Linked DNA regions of Xenopus tropicalis. Each later gene encodes a partner of the first gene's protein in a complex. Links are inferred from orthologs where the notes say so. Each region holds a gene or a part of one and is shown on either strand. Other genes may lie near its edges. The genes, in order: actr2, arpc5 and arpc5l.

What was found.
Region 2: actr2 (region 1) and arpc5 share a complex: the UniProt entries of both Homo sapiens proteins name them as parts of the arp2/3 complex. The link is inferred for Xenopus tropicalis from reciprocal best matches to the Homo sapiens genes ACTR2 and ARPC5.
Region 3: the proteins of actr2 (region 1) and arpc5l are in contact, whole or in part, in a cryo-EM structure (PDB 6YW6), measured with the Homo sapiens proteins. The link is inferred for Xenopus tropicalis from reciprocal best matches to the Homo sapiens genes ACTR2 and ARPC5L. Residues at the interface, in NP_005713.1 of Homo sapiens: Tyr225, Glu263, Phe266, Gln267, Arg319, Lys322, Gln323, Ser338; in NP_112240.1 of Homo sapiens: Arg11, Arg12, Val13, Asp14, Ile15, Asp16, Glu20.

What each region holds. Positions count from the first base shown.
Region 1 is NC_030681.2:31,959,988-31,963,636, reverse strand, and holds the end of actr2 (actin-related protein 2), read left to right. Parts: intron 1-689; coding exon 690-822; intron 823-1,859; coding exon 1,860-2,030; 3' UTR 2,031-3,248; downstream 3,249-3,649. UniProt on the Homo sapiens protein: ATP-binding component of the Arp2/3 complex, a multiprotein complex that mediates actin polymerization upon stimulation by nucleation-promoting factor (NPF).
Region 2 is NC_030680.2:99,903,090-99,907,334, reverse strand, and holds the start of arpc5 (actin-related protein 2/3 complex subunit 5), read right to left. Parts: upstream 2,866-4,245; 5' UTR 2,839-2,865; coding exon 2,699-2,838; intron 1,570-2,698; coding exon 1,497-1,569; intron 1,127-1,496; coding exon 950-1,126; intron 1-949. UniProt on the Homo sapiens protein: Component of the Arp2/3 complex, a multiprotein complex that mediates actin polymerization upon stimulation by nucleation-promoting factor (NPF).
Region 3 is NC_030684.2:28,257,963-28,262,362, reverse strand, and holds the start of arpc5l (actin-related protein 2/3 complex subunit 5-like protein), read left to right. Parts: upstream 1-1,498; 5' UTR 1,499-1,832; coding exon 1,833-1,978; intron 1,979-4,400. UniProt on the Homo sapiens protein: May function as component of the Arp2/3 complex which is involved in regulation of actin polymerization and together with an activating nucleation-promoting factor (NPF) mediates the formation of branched actin networks.

The DNA.
Region 1 (3,649 bases):
AAGGGAGCAGTATATCCACTTGAAGTAGTAGTTGAAGCAGCATGGAAAGCATTATTGGCAGAGTTTATATACAGGAATATAAAGGAATTGACCATCTTAGTTCTAGTAATATCTTCCCTTTTCGGAGGTGAGAGACAACTTCCTGTTCAGCACAATGAGACGTTAATGAGCACCTTTTGATATTAGCTGTAGTTAACAAATGTTCCAATCCTTGAATACTGTGGAGTAGTATATGCAGACAAATACAGCCCATTCAGTGGTGTGCCACCTTGTATTTTGGGTCTCTGACCTAGAGCTGTGAAATGCTATGAGATTATACAGGCCATTCAGCCTCATTTAGAAAGAAACGGCGTCCTTTGTTTATATGGTATGTAATTTGAGCTGTTACAGTATGAATACTGTTTCATGTCCCAGCTTTCCTCGGACGCTAATAACAGCACGAGCAACTTCCTGTGTCTGTGTTTGAACTAAATATGGAAACGGGTAAAACAAAAAAAGGCAAACAACGTTAAAGAAGATAAAATTGTTAAAGACAATTGAATTTAAAAACACATACCTGTTAAATCTTTCACCTCCCAGCATGTTTCTATAGATGTTTGTTATGGATGGAATTATTGTTTTTATTCTGCTCCTGCACTCCTCTGCAGTACATAGTAAATGCTGACATCTGTCCCTTTGTTTGTTTCCAGGCCAGAGTTCTATAAGCACATTGTGCTGTCAGGGGGCTCCACAATGTATCCAGGATTGCCCTCCCGTTTAGAGCGAGAACTGAAACAGCTCTATCTGGAGCGAGTCCTGAAAGGAGATGTTGAAAAATTATCGGTAAGGCTTTCAATTCTTGTTTTCTTTAAAAAATAAATTATTTTGTTAAAAGCGGTGTGCTTTCTTTCTGTTTTACAGTCTGAGTGTTGTGCTGCACATTACAACCTGTGGCACGTAGGCTTAAAGTTGCTTGTTTTGCTTAGCAAATTATAACTTCATCTTAACCTGGTACTGATTGTTCCCAAATCAACACAGCATCCTGAATTGCCATACAACATATTTCAAAGCCAAATGTGTGTTCTAGATAGAAATCCAACCCACAAACTGCATTGCCTGTTGGTAATTGTTCCGTACATTGTGGCGGCTCAGTATATGGAGTGTGGGTGCCTCTGGGAGCTTGGCAGTAGGCTGAAATCCAGTGTATGTGTTCCCCATCCATGCTCTGCTGACAGAGCTTTATATCATCCATTTTGAGAAACATATGATTTTAACAATAGGTGATACAACATAAATTTTGTTTATACCCCCTCAGTTGACCAACATTTGATGAGGGTCTCCTAGGCTTACAGATCAATAGAAAAAAATAGTAATAACACTCATTCTGTTGTCCCATACTTATCAAGGACAGCAAATAAGCAGTCACCCTAGGTCTTACATGAAATTGCATTGAGACTGAGCATGTAGCAATTTAGTTAGCAATTAAGCCTTCATGTTTAAGGTCCAACATTTGGCCAAGGCCCTCTATAGCTCCTTGTAAGGTCACAGATGCAAACATCAATGTATGATAAATTTAGCATACTTAGTATAGAGTGAGCTATGGGGGTGAATACTAAGTTTTGAGTGCTGTCTTCAGGGGTATCCTGGGCCACATTTAGGCATTTGCCACAAATCTCATACTAACTGGCCTTATGAACAGCTCCCAAAACTGTGATACCAGAATGAATCAGGTGCTGTTAGATTGAGCCAATCCATTACACTGTAGTAACATCAGAATGTATGCCACTTTGACTTGTGTAGAGTTATATGCTCAAAAATTAGGTTGTGTTTCAGTGCATATCATGTTTTTTCTTCATCTTTTTTTCTTCTCCTTATTCCAGAAATTTAAGATCCGCATTGAAGATCCTCCCCGCCGCAAGCACATGGTGTTCTTGGGTGGAGCAGTATTAGCTGACATCATGAAAGACAAAGACAACTTCTGGATGACGCGCCAAGAGTACCAAGAGAAAGGCACGCGTGTTCTGGAGAAACTTGGTGTGACTGTACGATAAACACAACTGCCATTTCCCATCGCTTCTCTAAAGCTTTCCTTGTTTCCTTTATTGCCAATCTCTGAACTCATTCAGTTCCATGACTTTCTTGGAAAGGCCTGTCTGTGTCCTTTTGACCTAAAGATGGGAGTTTTTTTTGCCCTGTTTCCTGAGGAGAGCTTTGTTCCATGTTTGTTAATGTACCTCGGTTTGACTATTTAATATGCCGTGTCTTTACAAACACAAAGCTCTAACCACAGAGCCTAACTGCTCCACATTGTCCGTTCTCGTTAGACATTTGGCCAATCACAGTAGGCTTTTCCATCTAGTGTACTGCTCTAAGGCTGCTAGCTTTATCTTCTACTCACCGGGTGGTTTGCCTTTTGTTTCTATAAGAGAATCCTTTAAAAGCAGCTTTTAATACCATATCCTTGGGATGGACCCTTTTTTTTTTTCCTTTTTTTCCACATTAGCCTTCTCGTACACAAAAAAAAATCTAGATTTTTTTTTTAAGCAGTTATCGGTAATTGTGATTTATTTTGTACAACAATTTACAAATCCCTCTGCTGCTTTCTGTCACTTTAGTTATAAAATCTAAATTTTTGTTTTAATTTTTTTTGTTTCCATGTTTCATTCTTAGAAGGTACACTTCTACACAGTCATGTCTGTTGTTAGGGCGCAGCATTAGTGTGAAGGAGGTCCTTTGCCCATATTGTGTGATAATCATTGTTAGGCATCACTTACATATAGTAACTCAGTGGCCCTCCAGCTGCTGTTGAACTTACCCAACTGCTAAAGGCTGCCAGGGTTTTGTGGGGATGTAGTTCTTCAGCAGCCAGAGGTGCCCTGATTTAAATGGTTTTATCCCCCCTTCTTTGCTGTGGGCCTCATCCAGCCCTGCAAACAGCACCATGTAACATGGGAATTGCTGGACTTTTTTTCTTTTTGCCTTTTAATGAAGCACTTGATCAGGTGACCCATTCCACTGGGAACAAGCTCATTGACAAGAAATTATCAGAACAGTTAAAAAGTTACAAATGTGTTTGTGATTATTCCAACAAAATCTAGAGAATTCCTATCTATCTATGAATTTCTTTTGTTTTATTGTTTTCCTTTGTGCGCTCGTTTCTATAGAAGCGCAGTGAATAAATTTGCTGTTGCTGTAAGACAGTGCCAAGTGCGATTCTTCCAAGAGGAATGTTCCCAAGACAAAATAAATGACATATAATGGTTATCTAACCCACGTCTCTGCTAACGTCTATCCTTTCCACAAAGCGACAGTTGCTGGGGAGAGCGATTTTATTTATAAATGCTTGTTTTTTGGGGATAATTCATTGATTGTATGGTGATAGCTTGCTAGGATTTGTTTCGTTGCACTGCTCTCTAACGCACTGAGGGCTTTTAGTATGTGTGTGTTGTGCTACCTTCTGTATCGCTGCACGCCCACTGTTATTCACTTGCAAATGGCTGGAACCATTCGCTGAGTGCCACCACTGAATCCAATCTGACACAAGACCTGGGTCCGGATGTTTAACTATAAATGTACAGGCTGCTGTCTGTTATAAAGGTCTATATTATCCTAGGAACTGAGCAACCGCTTAGAAGTCAGAATGGAAGATAAATAGTAGAGGGGCAGCATA
Region 2 (4,245 bases), on another chromosome or scaffold:
AGGTTTTGTCAATACATTAGCATTCTGACCAAACGTGACAGCTGTATAAAGAAGAGGCTGTGCTATCATTTATTCCTGTCCCTCTAGATTCAGTGACAACATTTTGTCAATCTGGACAGACCCTGCTTGGGTTTGTCCAACTATTTTGTTAAAGCCATATTTTAGTTTTGCCATAAAGAAGAAACTCGAAAAATCGGATTGGAAACGAACATTTTGCGATTTTTTCGTGAATTGTCGCAAATTGTTGCAACTTTTTCGTAGCCGTTACGACTTTCGCGAGTTGTCGCAACTTTTTCGTATTGAGCGCTTTCGTACTCGGCACGAGAGTACGATTTTTTCGCGACGGAAAAGTCGCGACGGCGACAAAAAAAATCTCAAAATACAGATCATTACAAATTAGTAAATTTGCCCCTAGGAGTTAAATCCTTGTGTACATGCTCCCTCACTGAACAAGTTTTGGGAGGGCATGAAGTGTGCTGTTAACAGTGTTCCAAAACTGCTCAGTTACTGCTACCACTCAAAAATATAGAATCAGATTTCATGGATAATTTTGTCCCTAACAACTGCTGCTAGGGGAGACCTACAGGGTCTGAAACATTTTTAGAAGAGGGATCAGCATTAAAAGGTATCTACTTATATGGGAAGGCACTGTATGCCTTTAAAGAATAAGTAAACCTTTTTTTTTTTTTTTTTAATCTAAATTTACTCTAAAATTACTCTGTTTAGCCCCCAGAATAACATACCTTTTTTCCCTGCATCCAGAATTACTTTGTCTCTCTATTACAAGCAGATGAGCTGCATCTCTTTTACCGGCTTCCTTGTCTAGTGTGAAGCCCCGCCCCTTTTGCTTTATGAGTCCCCCTTTCTCTCTCTCCGACTATGATGACCTAATAGAGGTGCCTACTCTGCATGCCTGATGTGTTTGTCAGCTCCATAGTACTTTGCTCACCTTCTCATGCCACTGCAACAAGACAGCACTGCTGTTGTCAGACGGACTCTCAAAGCCCTTGTAGATGTATTTCATTAAGAGGTCCATGTTATTTTTGTCTAAAGATTGAACAGCCTTTTCTATGTCATTAGCTTTAAAGGAGATTAGAACTTTCAGCACCAGGTGCTCAGCTCGATCCTAAGTAAAAAGCAATGATAAAGTCAATGTCCATACTCCAAAATTTAAAATAAAGAGTTAGAAAATTGTAAAACTGTATTGGAAAACTTGCTGGTATGACCAACTGAGTAGTGGCTGATTATTGGTACAGAATGCATTAAGTGCAGCAAAATAAGTTTGGCTGAAAGTAAGATATGAATATAATTTATAAAATAGTGTGGCAATAAAACTATTGGCAGGAGGAACAAAAAGCAAAGAGGAAGTAAGCACTGACTGATGTATATTCTGTACCCAATACGCCACTTTATAACTACCTTATTTATCCTTCAGCAAATAATAAGCAAATGAATAACAATTTGTTTCCTGTTGTATTTTACTAGAAGCATATTACCTTGGCAGACTGATTCTTGGTATTAATTGGTGGGTTCTTTAGAGCAGCTTGCAGAGCTCCCATCATGTTTCCTGTAGCAAGCTGTTAAGGGAATAACGTACTGACACAAAAGAAATGCCATACAATAATTACAGAACAATTTCAGTTGATGCTTTATATTCACAGATCCCTATATGGCCCTGGCCTAATATTAGCATAAATCTGAAAAAGCCTACTGTGCATATATATGGAAATATGGTCTGAATTGAAAATGTGTTAAAACTAATGAAAAAAATATAGATCTGGGACAAAAGTGTAAAAAAAGCCAACCAAGCAGAAGTTCCCATGCTTCCTGATGACTGAGACTGAGCCACTTCCTGCATTCCTAAACCTGAAGCAAGACCAAGCTTGCCTCACAAAAACATATAGCTTGTACTATAACACCACAACGACCAATAACTGCTACAGAACCATCAAGGTGTGTTTAACTGTGTGCTCAACCTGTGTGTAACTTGGCTCAAAGTCCACTATTGTATTATCCACCCTTGGAAACACCGATAAGAAAGCATGTAAATGTATGTGATTTCAAACAGAGAGAGAGTGAGAAAGAAAGTGTTTTTGTTTAGATAGACAGAGAAAAAGAAACAAAATGCACAGGATAAAGTGACTGACACTCCCACAGCCTCACAGCAAGTTCCTCTTTGTAGGAAAAGGAGATTAACTACTGACATTTCCTACACAGCAGAGCCTCTATATACGGTTTGCAAGTATTTTGCTTGCCATAGATCCTTTAGGTATGTAATATGGAGTCAGTGTGCAAACTGGAGTTGGTATGCACAGCTTCTGCATATCCACACATAGCAAATGACAAGGTGCATAGACAAAAGCAAATGTGTATTGACTCCAGTTTGAAAGCTTATTAGGCTACCATATCAGGACTATGCCAGTTTATTCTAGTAGATATTCCTGAAACCTTAGCTTGGAGATCAAACAAAGAGAAGGGTGTAGGGGGAAGTATAGGCTTTGCAAGATGAAGATGAGTACAAAGCATGACAGGAATAGTGGAAACAGTGGCAGTCAGCCCTCTCCATGTGACACCGCACACCTTCAGCATGTTAGCACTATGACACGGTACAGCCCATATGTCAGGCGATTAGGAGCATGTCTGTTCATACAAAGGTACAATGCCAGGCCCTGCCAGCACAGACAACATACAAGGATATCCCCGAATCGCGCTATCAACCTCCCCCTCGTCGGGTCCTTGCTGTCCTTCTCCCGCCTCCTCTTCGTCAACGAATTTGTTCTCATCATATTCATCCACATCTACTTTCCGGAAGCGTGCAGACACCGTATTCTTCGCCATCCCGAACCGGAGACTCTGTGCTGCTGGCAGGGAGCGGTCGTACTCAATGCGCAGGCGCAGCGGCTTCCGCTTTTATTCTCGGCTTCCGGAGACTGTCAGAGCGCTAGTTTTGCTGGTGTGGTTACCTCTGCCGGGATTAAGGCAGTATCAAAGCGTTCAGTCTATTCTGTGGGCTTTACCCAGGCGGGACACTCAGGCTGGGCCCGTGGGTAGTACATTTACCTGGGCGGTGGAGGTGTCAGGGGATAATCAGTTTGGTGTTTTCCAGTGACCTGACCTGTTGCATGGTAAAAAAAACTGTGGCATGGCTTGCTGGACTGCTTTTGTACAGAAAAAAAGGATTTTCTGGCAAAGTCCTCACCGTTTTGTGGGTTTCACGCAGTGCAGGACGGGTGTTTATATAAATCCAGACTAAATAAATAAAGTTAGGTATTGTAAGTGTATTGAGTGCATTTTGTGGAAGTCTGTGTTGCTGCATATGCTGATGGAATATGTGTATTTCCAATAGCATGTTTTATATAATATCCTGTGGTTGTCATCCCCTTAATTCAATGTTCCAATAGTTTATGTAATGGTACTATAGCAATGGCTTGTTGTCAGATCTTGTTATAATGTTAGTGTTTAATATAAAATAGTTTTTGCTTGTTCTACCCCCTCCCCCTTTTCCTTCTGAGCCTCCTCCATTCCTTGGGGCTGTTGCCTCGAGAGGAAACTTTGTCGATTTCAGCGCCGCGTATGGCATCCCACTGGCGATTTACATTCTAGCCGGTGGGATGGCATTTTGGGAAGATTAGTCGCCTGCACCAAGGTAGATTTGTCGCATGGCGACTAATCTCCCCGTCTGTCACAGCCCTTACGAAAGACGTGTAAATATAGAATTAAAAAAAAAAAGAATATCCTGTGGCAGACAATTATTGCCCCCCGGGTTGTGGACCCCTAACAAGTAACATAGTAAGTTAGGTTGAAAAAAGACATATGTCCATCAAGTTCAACCATAATGCCTATATATAACCTGCCTAACTGGTAGCTGATCCAGAGGAAGGCAAAAAAGTTTCCTGCCCAGTTCTCACAGGTGACATAAAACCTCAATATAGCGTCAAACAGTAATAAGAATGGGAACACAGGAGCAACTATGCCCTTCCATTGCCTGACAGGCTTTACTAGGCACACTTTCTTCTTTTTTTGTTGTTAAAAAGACAGATTCTAAAAGTCTTTCTGCATTTGGTTAATATGGTGATTTTATACACAGTAAATTGTCATTCTAGACACCATTTTCATGGATTTGGAGTACCGTTTAAAATCAGTCAATGTGAGTTTTTTTCTCATCATAAGCAACACTTTGGTGGTGTTCATAATGTCAAACTCATGTACAGGCAAAATGTTGCTACTTCAACTTTATGACATAAA
Region 3 (4,400 bases), on another chromosome or scaffold:
CACGGCAGTGGGCTTACAAGGCAAGAATGGAAAATGAGTTTAGATACAATTGGTTTGGCCACCATACTAGTGCTCGCAGACAATTACAATGCACACACAGTTTAAGATATGAGTGCGTTTTTCTAGGTTAAATAATAATCAATATTACAATATGGAGGTCATAAGAGCCAGAAAGCAATTCATATGTCCAAGAACAACTCTCATAATTGCAGCTTTTAGTCAGCATTCTAGGGCATTACTTGTAATGATCGGCAGGTAAATTAACAGGAAAGTACAAACCTAGTAATGACCAAATCATGGTATTTTTTTGGCGCTGTCATTTACTGCCATTCTGATATAGTGGATAGTCCAATTGCCAATGCCATATCACCCTTGAAAAAATGATTTATATAATATTGCCAACAATCTGACCTACTAATTCACCACCCACAGGCACTAACTAGCTTCCATGTAAAGATGACCCCTTTGAAACTGGTCTCAAAATCCTGACTATATCACAAACATTGAGAGAAGGCAGGCACTCTGGTAGTTCACGTATCATGTGTTAGCTCAATAAAAGTTTTGTGATTTTACTTTACTTTCTCGTGGACAACCGCTTTTCTTCACTGAACTACCAGAGTGCCTGTCTTCTCTCTGTGTGAGGCAGTCTCCTCAACCTTATTTATTTGTTTGTAGAACCACATGGTGACTCTACCTAAGCTGATCAGAAAACCCTGCACTACACTGATGAGCCCCCAATAAGGGTGAAACCGGTCTGTAGTTGGGAATCTGATCAGCTATTGTCCTGGCTTCAGCTTCAAACCCAGTGGGTGAGCTGTAGCCTATAGGATAAACCCATGTAAATGGGATTTTTTTAAAGAGTCTGGAATTTGTTCCCAGAATTCCTTTTGTTTGCTTTTGTCTGCGTGAGGCAGTCTCCTCAACCTTATTTATTTGTTTGTCTTCTCTCAATGTTTGTGAGATACCCATGATGGCTCCCTCTAGCTGAAGGTCTGGGGCATGAGCACCTGGGCCCATCTATACTATGGGTGAGATTTACGAATTACTTCTGAGCATATGTTTACTTTTTTCTGTATCTTAAAATCCTGACCCTTAATATCCAATTAGCAATTCACTGATGTACCTTCTTTAAGGCTACATATAAATCTGCCTTGTGTGACTACAGCACGCATTTCAATTCCCAAGTAGTGTGGCACAATGTAAGTTTATTTCGTTTAAGGCACCATGCCTCCTCCATACAGTTATTTCTTTTCCGAATGTTGACATCTATGCCCCTAACTACTGTCCCCCAAGCCCCTGGGGTGACGGCCTGAGGAGTTGCTAAGCAACAAGAGGCCGCCATGTTGGCTTCTCGCTTCTCACGCGTTCATGTCAGTGACGCCATTCCGCTTCCGCTACACGCTCCGCCCTGCCGGAGTCACCGGAAGCGGAGGGAGCCGGCTGGACTGGAAGCGAGTGTCCGTGACAGCGGCCAAGCCCCCTTCCCTCTCAGTCGCCACTTCCCTCCCTGGTCACCCCCACCCTGAGTAGCTGCCGTCCGACCTAGCCAGGGAGTAAGCGCCTCAACACCCCCTTTTCATTGGCCTCCGCCCCCTTCCCTCCTCTCTCTCAGCCCCCAATTCCTGTCACACAGCTTCATTGAGAGAATTCATTGAGCCTTACTGTAGCCCCTAGCGATCAGTGGCCGCATTTTTGAAGGGGGTGCGTTTTGCTGTCAGGCTCATTGAGTGTTTGTAGTGGCAGTCGGTTCCTGTCACCTTCCCTGCGCTCACACCCTATCAGGGTGTCACACCCCCTTCCTGTGGGTGCTGCAGCCGGCCGGCTAGCCTAACATGGCCAAGAACACGCTGTCGTCGCGCTTCCGCAAGGTGGACATAGACGAGTACGACGAGAACAAATTTGTTGACGATCAGCTGCAGGAGGAACCGGCCGAGCCTCAGGGGCCCGACGAGGCCGAGGTGGACAGTCTGATCAGGCAATATCCTTTTACTGTATTACTGCACACCTAGGCCATCGCTCATGCTGTAATTACTGGAATGCTTAACCTGCAACCCTCTTGTCAGGGGGGGGGGGGGACTGATAAACAGTTTATTATTTTTTTAATGAAAAATGTTTCTTATGGGTGAAGACACATGTAGCTACTAGTACTTGTCATGGCTACTCAAATAGACAATGCTGATCATTTACTGATACAGGTATCGGACCCCTTATCCGGAAACCCATTATCCATAAAGTTCTGAATTACCAAAAGGCCGTCTCCCATAGACTCCATTGTGATCAAATAATTCACATTTTAAAAAATTATTTCATTTTTCTCTGTAATAATAATACAGTACCTTGTACTTGATCCCAACTAAGATATAATTACCCCTTATTGGGGGCAGAACAGCCCTATTGGGTTTATTTAATGGTTAAATGATTCCCTTTTCTCTGTAATAATAAAACAGTACCTGTACGTGATCCCAACTAAGATATAATTACCCCTTATTGGGGCAGAACAGCCCTATTGGGTTTATTTAATGGTTAAATGATTCCCTTTTCTCTGTAATAATAAAACAGTACCTGTACTTGATCCCAACTAAGATATAATTACCCGTTATTGGGGGCAGAACAGCCCTATTGGGTTTATTTAATGGTTAAATGATTCCCTTTTCTCTGTAATAATAAAACAGTACCTGTACTTGATCCCAACTAAGATACAATTAATTCTTATTAGAGGCAAAACAAGCCTATTGGGTTTATTTAATGTTTAAATAATTTTATTAACATACTTAAGGTATGGAGATCCAAATTACGGAAAGACCCCTTATCTGGAAAACCCCAGGTCATGAGCATTCTGGATAATGGGTCCCATACCTGTAATTGTCTCTATGTGTGCGTTTTAGCAGAGGCAAGTCTCAGTATTGTCTATGGCAGGGTGTTTTCTGGAGTTAAGTAGCCATGAAAAAGTAGCTACTACTAGTAGCTCTGTGTGTCTTCACCCTAAAGCGAGTGGGAGCTAAAAATGTTACGGTGGAGCTAAGTAACTTGCAGCTATGCCCCTGCCTCTAGCAGTTGTTTCTGCACATTTGCCAGTATCACTCTTCGTGCCTCCCTTGTCCTGGGAGTGGTGGGTAACAGCTGGGGGTACGTACATAGTTTAATATGCATTGACTCATCCTTTGCTGATAACAAAGATTCAGTTATAAAAAGCAATGATATGAAAGGCTGTGACAGAACAAGAGGCTGGTCAATCATTGTGAGTGGGAAAGACTGGTAATTGCTGGCCCCATGCAATCCAGTGTTGCAGGTTTATTGATACTTTGCTTACATTCTTTAGCAAACATTATGGCTGTACACATGGTGGTGCTAGTTAGGGGCTGAGCAGTCTGGATGTATGGTTACAACTCCAAGGCTTGTGTTTGTTAGAAGAGAAAAATCCAATCGGCCATTTTAGCTACACCTTGTAGGTATGACTGTAGTTGCGGTATTTATAATTGATTTTAATAAAGGCATGTACTGAATCCTTCATTTTTAGATTCAGCTGAATCCTGCATTAACAATATAGCAGAACGCTGAATCTAAATTGTATTATTACATTTTAACAGAGAAAATCAAATATATCAACCTGGAGGAAAAAAACAGCCCTATTTTAGTTAACTTTTTTAGGTCTCCTTAGTGCTGGCTTAGGTTAGTGATACACAGGGCTGTTTCCCCACCTGCGTAAAAATGGGAACAGGCCAATGCAAGTGGATCCATTCCTTCTTACTAGTGGACTGACCGGCATGTCGGCAGCCTGTGAGCGCAGACAGAAAGTGAATTCCAACAATAAATTCATTATAGGGTGTTGATTGATTCATAAGCCAGAGAAATATACTGCTTAGAATGTCCAAATGCCAGGCCATTGATAGTTTTCTAATGTTACTTATAAAATTTAGGCAAAAGGTACTTCTTTGAAATAAGTTGGTGATGTGGGTTCTCTTAAAGTAACATTAAAAAAAAAAAAATGATGAAGGTATTGAAATATATAACGTACTGCTGCCCTGCACTGGTAAAACTTGTGTGTTTGCTTCACAAACTCTACTACTGTTAAATAAATAAGCTGCTGTGTAGCTATGGGGGTAGGTATTTAGCTTGAAAACAAGAAAAGGCACAGATTGCATATCAGATTTGCTCTGTATCTGTGGCATCTAACCCAGTTTCAACTCGAATGGCAGCCCCCGTGGCTACACAGCTACTTATTTTCAGGCCTGGATTTGTGGGCAAGCCACAAAGGGCCATGCCAAGGGCACCAAGGATCTGGTGGCAGCATGCTGCCCGCTGGCTGCATCTGAACTGGGGACAGGGTGAGAGATTTTGCTAGCTGTTTAAATCTCCCTTGGCCCTCAATGTTTTTCTGCTTCAAAGTTCACATTTTTCAT